Linked DNA regions of Neodiprion lecontei. The protein of the gene in region 2 interacts with the protein of the main gene of each other region in a pairwise test. Links are inferred from orthologs where the notes say so. Each region holds a gene or a part of one and is shown on either strand. Other genes may lie near its edges.

The links.
Region 1: the proteins of raf homolog serine/threonine-protein kinase Raf (region 2) and ras-like protein 1 interact in a two-hybrid assay, tested with the Drosophila melanogaster proteins (2 studies listed by BioGRID). The link is inferred for Neodiprion lecontei from reciprocal best matches to the Drosophila melanogaster genes Raf and Ras85D.

Annotation. Positions count from the first base shown.
Region 1 is NC_060265.1:20,933,219-20,936,976, forward strand, and holds ras-like protein 1, read right to left. Parts: upstream 2,227-3,758; 5' UTR 2,029-2,226; intron 1,914-2,028; exon of another isoform or gene 1,629-1,913; intron 1,550-1,628; 5' UTR 1,466-1,549; coding exon 1,337-1,465; intron 1,200-1,336; coding exon 1,056-1,199; intron 672-1,055; coding exon 468-671; intron 386-467; coding exon 281-385; 3' UTR 137-280; downstream 1-136. UniProt on the Drosophila melanogaster protein: Ras proteins bind GDP/GTP and possess intrinsic GTPase activity. Plays a role in eye development by regulating cell growth, survival of postmitotic ommatidial cells and differentiation of photoreceptor cells.
Region 2 is NC_060262.1:27,894,299-27,898,056, forward strand, and holds the start of raf homolog serine/threonine-protein kinase Raf, read right to left. Parts: upstream 2,726-3,758; 5' UTR 2,338-2,725; coding exon 112-2,337; 3' UTR 1-111.

The sequences.
Region 1 (3,758 bases), on a different chromosome or scaffold from region 2:
AAACCCAAATAAAGTTTCGAAATATAGATAGTTAATCCAGTAAAATGTTATCATTATTTGTAAGATAAGATTTGATACTACGAGTAAAAATGTATTGTGTAATATTGTACAATCATACATCAATCGTTTTAAAAAATGTTGTGGTGGCAGCTTTACTTCGCGTTTCAAAGTGAACTGCACTAATGTGCGACACAGTTAATTAACCCAACGGTTTTTTTTTCTTTTTACATTATACTCGCGCTTGTATAGTATATAAAGGTAACAGAAATTAGTTAACCATTTACAGAAGACAGCAGCGATGCCTTCGGCGTCCAGAACTTCTTGCTCTCATACGCTTTCGTTTTTCTTTGCCTCTTTGTTCTTTATCACTTCGGATTTCTCTAACCTGAAAGATATAAGTGATAACCAGTAAGATTTTTTACCACTTGCACACTTTTTCATCTTTTACTATGAATCACTTTGCTTACTAGAGTATAGAAAGCGTCGTCTACTCCCATTCTAGTTTTTGCGGAAGTTTCAACGAATGGTACACCATACTGACGAGCTACTTCTCTCGCTTGCGTCATATTTACAGCCCATGACTGAAGGTCACATTTATTCCCAACTAACACCATTGGCACCTCTTCGGCATCTTTGACACGTTTTATCTGTTCTCTGTATGTTCCAATGTCCTGTGTAATGCGAAGAAAGCAACCAAAGTTAGGTCAGTGTAATTATAGTGAAGAAAATAAAAGAATGGAAAAAATTGCTTAAATATGACAAACTTTACTATACCCTGTAATTAATTACAATAAAACCTCTTGATTCATACTCTCAAGTTATAAATACTTGTCACATTGATAAGCTGAGAAGATATCATTGCAAGTGTGAAAAGCTTTGCTACAGACTCAAGGGATATCTGATGATCAGGTTAATTGAGACAAGACAACTGTGTGATTTTTTTTGGTTACTGTGATTTTTACTAACTACATTATTTTGTAAGTAAACATCGCGAAGATTAATAATTTTCTAGCTTACTAAACAATAAATGTATCGAAATGCAGTATTGTACTTACTTCAAAACTTTTTGCCGAATTAACAGCAAAGACTAGTAGAAATCCTTCACCAGTTCGCATGTATTGGTCCCGCATTGCGCTATACTCTTCTTGGCCAGCGGTATCTAAAATATCCAGCAAACAAGTTTCCCCATCTATAACAACCTGAAAAATATGAAAATAATTAAGCTAAAAATAAAGAGTATTTGTCTATTTCTAGTGCATTGAAGATAACTTTGATTGAAAAAAAAATTAATTGTATAACTTATGCGACAAAATTTTTGAATCCAAATGTTAGTTACCTGTTTTCTATAAGAGTCTTCTATTGTTGGATCATATTCATCTACAAAGTGGTTCTGAATTAGTTGTATGGTGAGCGCTGACTTGCCAACACCTCCAGCCCCTACAACAACTAGCTTGTATTCCGTCATGACAGTCTTTTTAGTAAATCTCAACTTGAACCAAAGTACCGGACCTGAATGATGCTGGGTCGTACACTGGTTGAAAAAAGATACCTGCAAAGTGAAAAAAGAATCTTCAACAAAGATGATGGAGAGCAATTGATCTTCACTAATTGTAAGAGATTCTATCTACCTATTTATGTCTCAAGGATGGATATTATGAAGTATCCCATAGAAAGTTCGCGAAAGCAAAGGAAAAATGCTGAAATTAATCTTGCAAATGTTTCGAGAAATAAGAAAGTGGTATTTAAATTTGTGTTATATTGATTGGGTATTTTGAGCTAATGAAAAACTTATTAAAGGTTATTCGCACAATCGTATTGTAAAATACGGTAGTTGATTAGAGTTACGATGATGATAAACGATATTTTGTTATTATCTGTCGATTGGTTACATCAGATTTGCATTTTCTAATCTGTCAACGATCTGTAAGTGAGAAATAGGATATGAGTTGTGAAGAAAGAAAAAAAAAGTAACACTAAACAGGGCAAAGTAAACTTGAAGTTGAGGATAAAAATGTTTCATATACTTACTAAAGCTTGCAGGGCATTTCACTACAGAGTTTATTTTCAAATTCTTTTGTCACGACAATTGTTTAGTCACTCGCTCGAGCTTAAAAGTATAAATTAATTTAATAAAATTAATTGTTTTGATGAGTGTCGCCTGCCACAGCCTTAGAGCATATAGACATTGAGGAAGCATCGACGCTGGAAAACTGTCTCCGAGTCAGTGACAGAGAGAGACATCGTAATATTACATGCGCGCTCTGTCTGCGGCAAGAGCGTACCTGTCGTAATTGAGTGCCCCGCGCATTGCGTGGATATAATCCGGATATGTATACACATACACTGATTTCTAGTAGATAAGGTTATTGAAACAAACAGTTAATAATATCAGTATTTAACATATTTTTAAATGAAAAATTTTAATTTATGAATGTGGAACGGGCATTTTCTCCATAAAGTGTGATGGAAACGCGACGTTTCAATGGCATGATTTTAGTAAATAAATTAAACTTAATAGCAGCACTCGAACTTCTGATGCTCCTGGTATGCACTACGAGCAAAACAAACTATTAAAGCCTTTACAGCCAGGAACCGGGATCCTGTGATACAAGCGTGAGTGCTCGGAGCACTAGCGTAAGTCGGCCAATCGGAGCCTGCGAGACAGAGAAGGGATGTAGTATTACTATTTCCCTCTCTGTACCGTTTTCCACTTATGCGAAAGGGTATACCAGGACTATATGCTCTAAGGCCACAGCCCACTTCGCTACTGCCATTAGTGAGTGGTAGTCACAAAAAACTCACCCAGTTCGAATCACTACCGGTAAAATAGATAACAAGATATGTTGCCATCTACATGTTGGTCAACAAAGTAGGAATCGGCCACTCTTCACGTATTATTAGAGGATACCATCATTTTTCGTAAAACAATAACGGAATGAAATAATTTTGACCCCTAGGCACCCTAATCTGATTCATAAAAAAACACGTATTCGACGATAGTGACATATAGTGTTAATTGTAGGCTTGACTTGCTTTGAATTCGATTGCGAATCAGACGTATTTACAGCCTAAGATCACAGCATGTCTTGGAAACGCGGATCATGGAACGGAAAAAGAATACGGGTCTAATGAAATTCGATTTAAAAAAGTAACCGAAGGTTTTGCAGCTTCATCATTGTACCAAAAGTAGAGTTTTCCATTTTTCATTTTAGATCACTCTAGTTGCCGTAATCATGTCCGTAAACGAGTCGTGCGGCATCTACAGCGCATTGTTTATATAACAATAAATATGTTCTTTATGAATTTTTTGCAATAGGAAAAAAAAAACAAAAACGAGACATTTCAATACTACGTATTAACTGTGTGCAAAAGTTCAATCTTGGCACCCGAATACCTGAGTGAAAAAGAAATATGGAAAATAGACTCGTTTTTCGAAGGTTATGCTTACCCCTTAAAATTCTGTTACAGGCCTTAGGGAAGAAAGTAAAAATAAAATAAATTTACATTTCATATAACTTACTTCAAAAGTTTATACATAAAAAATATGTTAGCCTAAGATATGAATATAATATAAAATAAAAACTATTAATAAGAATATTAAATATAACGTAATAAATATGCAATCGTAAATGTATATACAGTTCAATTTTAATCAAATTCGTCGATCATTTTGGGTTATGATGATAATGTGAATAATAATTTAAATACAATATAGTCAATAATGTACCTATCTTCGATATAATATTATATTATACAAT
Region 2 (3,758 bases):
TCGCAACTTAATTTTTTTTCAAATTTTTCTCTTTTCAATTCTGTTTCTTTTTCTTTAATGCATTCTATTATGTTTTTATATGCCAAGGGTGAAAATTCAAAGTAATGTCCATTATATGTTCCCGCCCGATGGGTAAAAAGGGAATGCTCCGAATTGAAAGTTGACAGGCGTTTTAGGTGAAGCGCAGGCGTAAAGGAAATCATCCGTCTGCAATTGAGTTCGATTTAAATTTGGTTCCGAAGCTGATCTGGTTATCTTAGGCAAACCCTGAATCAAACCTTCCAAGCTAGCTAAAATTTGTCTAAATATCGGTCTTTCATCTCTGGAAAATTTTATACAGTCTTCCGTCAGGCGTTTCAAAGCCTTCGGAGTGTCCGATCTGAGTTTGTTCAAATCAGGACGCAGGTAGCCTCTCCCAACCATGAAGAGAATTTGATCTTTGTTGTTATTGTTACAATAAGGTAACTGTCCGGTAAGCAGTTCGAAAAGTACCACTCCGAAAGCGTAAACGTCGGACTGATAACTGTAGGGATTTTCTTCCTGCATTCTGATAACCTCGGGTGCCATCCATAAAATGGAACCAGTCGGTTGGTGAAATTGCTGAGATCCAGACCACCTTGTCTTCGCTGTTGCCAGTCCAAAATCACCAATCTTCACAGTCAAGTCATCGTGCAAGAATATATTGTTGCTCTTCAAATCCCGATGAATGATGTTCTTTGCGTGTAGATAATCCATACCCTGTGCAGTCTGTCTGCCAATTTCAATAAGTGTCAAAAGTTCAAACTTGGATTCAAAAACATGGAGGTGTTTGTACAAAGACGATCCCTCGCACCATTGAGTTACTATGGCGAGCTGGGGTTTACTGACGCAACCCATAAACAGGAGTATATTAACATGACGAGTTTTCCTGAGCACTGCAACTTCATTTTTAAATGCCTGGAGTTGAGCCAGTGTTGGAATTTTAACGTTCAAAGTTTTCACAGCCACCGGACCGTGCCAATGAGCTTTGTACACCGTCCCGAACGATCCTGAACCGATGCGAGGTCCCACCAATATTTCATCGGCCGGAATCTCCCAGTCTTCGATCGACTCTCTGGGGGCCAATAAATTTTTCGAAGATTCGTCAGCCGACCTTGCCCTTGGCCGTTTTGGCCTCAACGTACTCGTCGGACTCGCCTGCGTCGATTGACTGTGCTTGGTCGGACTGCTTCCAGGTGAAACCGGACTCTGAGTGTTACCAACCGGCCTTCCCAGGCTTTGAGATCTGGTGTAATCCTCGAGAGACGAGGGATCGCTCCCTGGTTTAACCATGTTGAAGCAGACATTGGGAGCGGAACTGGAGCGATCTTGCTGCCCCAAGGTTCTGGGATGTCTGTGACTTCTGACAGGAGCCAGAGACGGAGACATGCTTCGACTTAGACCATAGCCAGATGGAAGTTGGAGTATTCCAGCAGTAGTTTCGGGGTTGTGAGCCAGAAGAGCCTGGTAGTAAGCATCTTGCATGCGAACCTGATGACACAGCGCCGGAACACCGCCGGCACATCGTTGATGAAATCTGTAGTTACAAGTCCGGCAATAGAATCCTTGAAAGAGAAGTTTTCTACAGAATTCGCAGAACGCCAATGAGAAAAATGTCTTTCTAGCAAAATTGTGCGATATAGAAGTCGTTATAGGAAATTTATCCAATATCTCGACCGATATCTCGTCGCATTCCAAAGACGAAATGTCCGTGTCCCAGGGAATCGGTATCTTGGTATCGTTGTGTCCTATTACATAGACCACGCACATTTCCGGCGTAAGATTTCGCAGCTTCATCGCCTTGGCGAGGGCGTCTCTGAGCGAAAGTCCCTCTTTGACTTGGACGCTGGTGCGTTGCTGATTGGGTAGATGAGCGCGTAGCAAAGACTTCAGCGGGGTTCTCGGGTCTGGTTGTCTGGATGGTGTCTGAACCTCGTAGTCAATGTTAACACTAGCGGTAGAGTTCAGGAGCTCGTTGAGCTTCTGTTCCTTGGATTCGAGCTCGTGCAGCTTGCTGGTGAGTTCCTGATACTCGGTGAGGTAGATCGGAGGCGGGTGTTGAAAGCCGGCGAACTTGTTATTGAGCGCATCGATGTTCTGCCTCGTGACATGGATGACACTCTGGATATTTTTCAACTCGTATCTGAGGGGATCCGTCTCGAGGTAACAGTCTTCGAAATCACTCAAATCGGCGTTGTTGCCTGAGTATCCCTGCGACATGGTGTTTGAATGGTCATTACCATTACCACGGGACGGTGTCGTGTACGAAAACGTCGGTACTCTACCATGGACGAATCTTACTTCCCTAATAACTGCCATTTTCTAACGAGACCCACCTGACGCAGGTTGTTTTGTTTTCCTCGCAATGAACGTCGGCGGCGACGACATCGTGTTTAGCTAAATGGCCTTGCGAATTTAGCCGCCTATCTTCCTCCTTCTCCGCCACCTCCTCCTCCTCCTCCTCCTCCCCCCCCCTGCTCGGCCGCCAATATCTTCACCTTTTAACGCGATATAATTACGCACCGTTGGATATCACTTCACCCGACACCCGTCACTTTATATTTAAGTACGCGCCAACGATTGTTTAAACAATATTTATATTATTGCGGGTCGCACGATAATCGAGACTCTGAAAAACTCAACAATAGGCCAGTGTCAACGGCGGCTGCTTTCGCTGCCTTATTACTCTAAACTCTTGCGCAGAACCCGAACGGCGAACCGAACCGACACGGAAACTCCCGAGTTCTGTGTGTCCAGCGCCTCCGATACGTATATGGGTCATTCCACGTCAACGGTATAACGTGTATACCGTTTTCGAAAATTCATTACTAGACGGGTTTTCAAACATCATTTTGTATCAACCCTATGAAGAGTATGTCTGGCGGAAGGAGGGTTCGGAACGAGAATAACATTCCTCATTTCGCTTATTGTCAATCACGTGATTAAAGACGTGAAATAATCTTTTTCCATGCATTATTTTATAATCTTTAACTATCCGTATAATATTGCAGTAGTCGTTCCAATAGTTTCGTAATATTCAACATTTATGGTTGAAATGGATTGAAACGAATTGAAATTGTAAAAACAATCGTTTGGAAGTGAACATTTTATGCGAAGAATATGAACGATTTAGGATATTATAATGTGGATCTCGGGTGAAATTCATATTGAAAGGGAAAACAATCGAAATATACTATAATATCAAGAATTGGTTTGTCTGAAATACTGTTAACTACTTTTTTTATCTGCTATCTAGAGTTTGTGTTCAATTCGAACGTTGAGAATTAAAAGCAGAACGGATGTCAATGCGCGGTTGATGCTTAGTAATGAGAACCGTGAATAGTCGATAAAAAGAATAGAATTCCATAGAAATTAGCGGTCGAGTTTGTGGTTAGTTGAAAATTCCAAGACATGCATTTATATGCACGGTTAATATAAAAAAAAAATACACGTTTCAATTCTTTTATGTTCGTGGAACTTGAATTTTTATTCCATTATAATCACAAGACGATGTGCAAAAAATTTCGTTACAGACAAAATCCGAGAACAGATTAATTCGGTACAATATAATTTGGATACGTGCGTCAGGTTTGACCGCGGTTTCTTCACGTAATTTGTGAAAAGACTCCAGTTCCTTTCTGATTCTTTGGTTTTTTAATAATATCTCAACCAAATAATTTTGAATTACACTTTAAACTTTCCGGATAATTTCCGGGGGTGCAACCCCGATTTTTCTGATA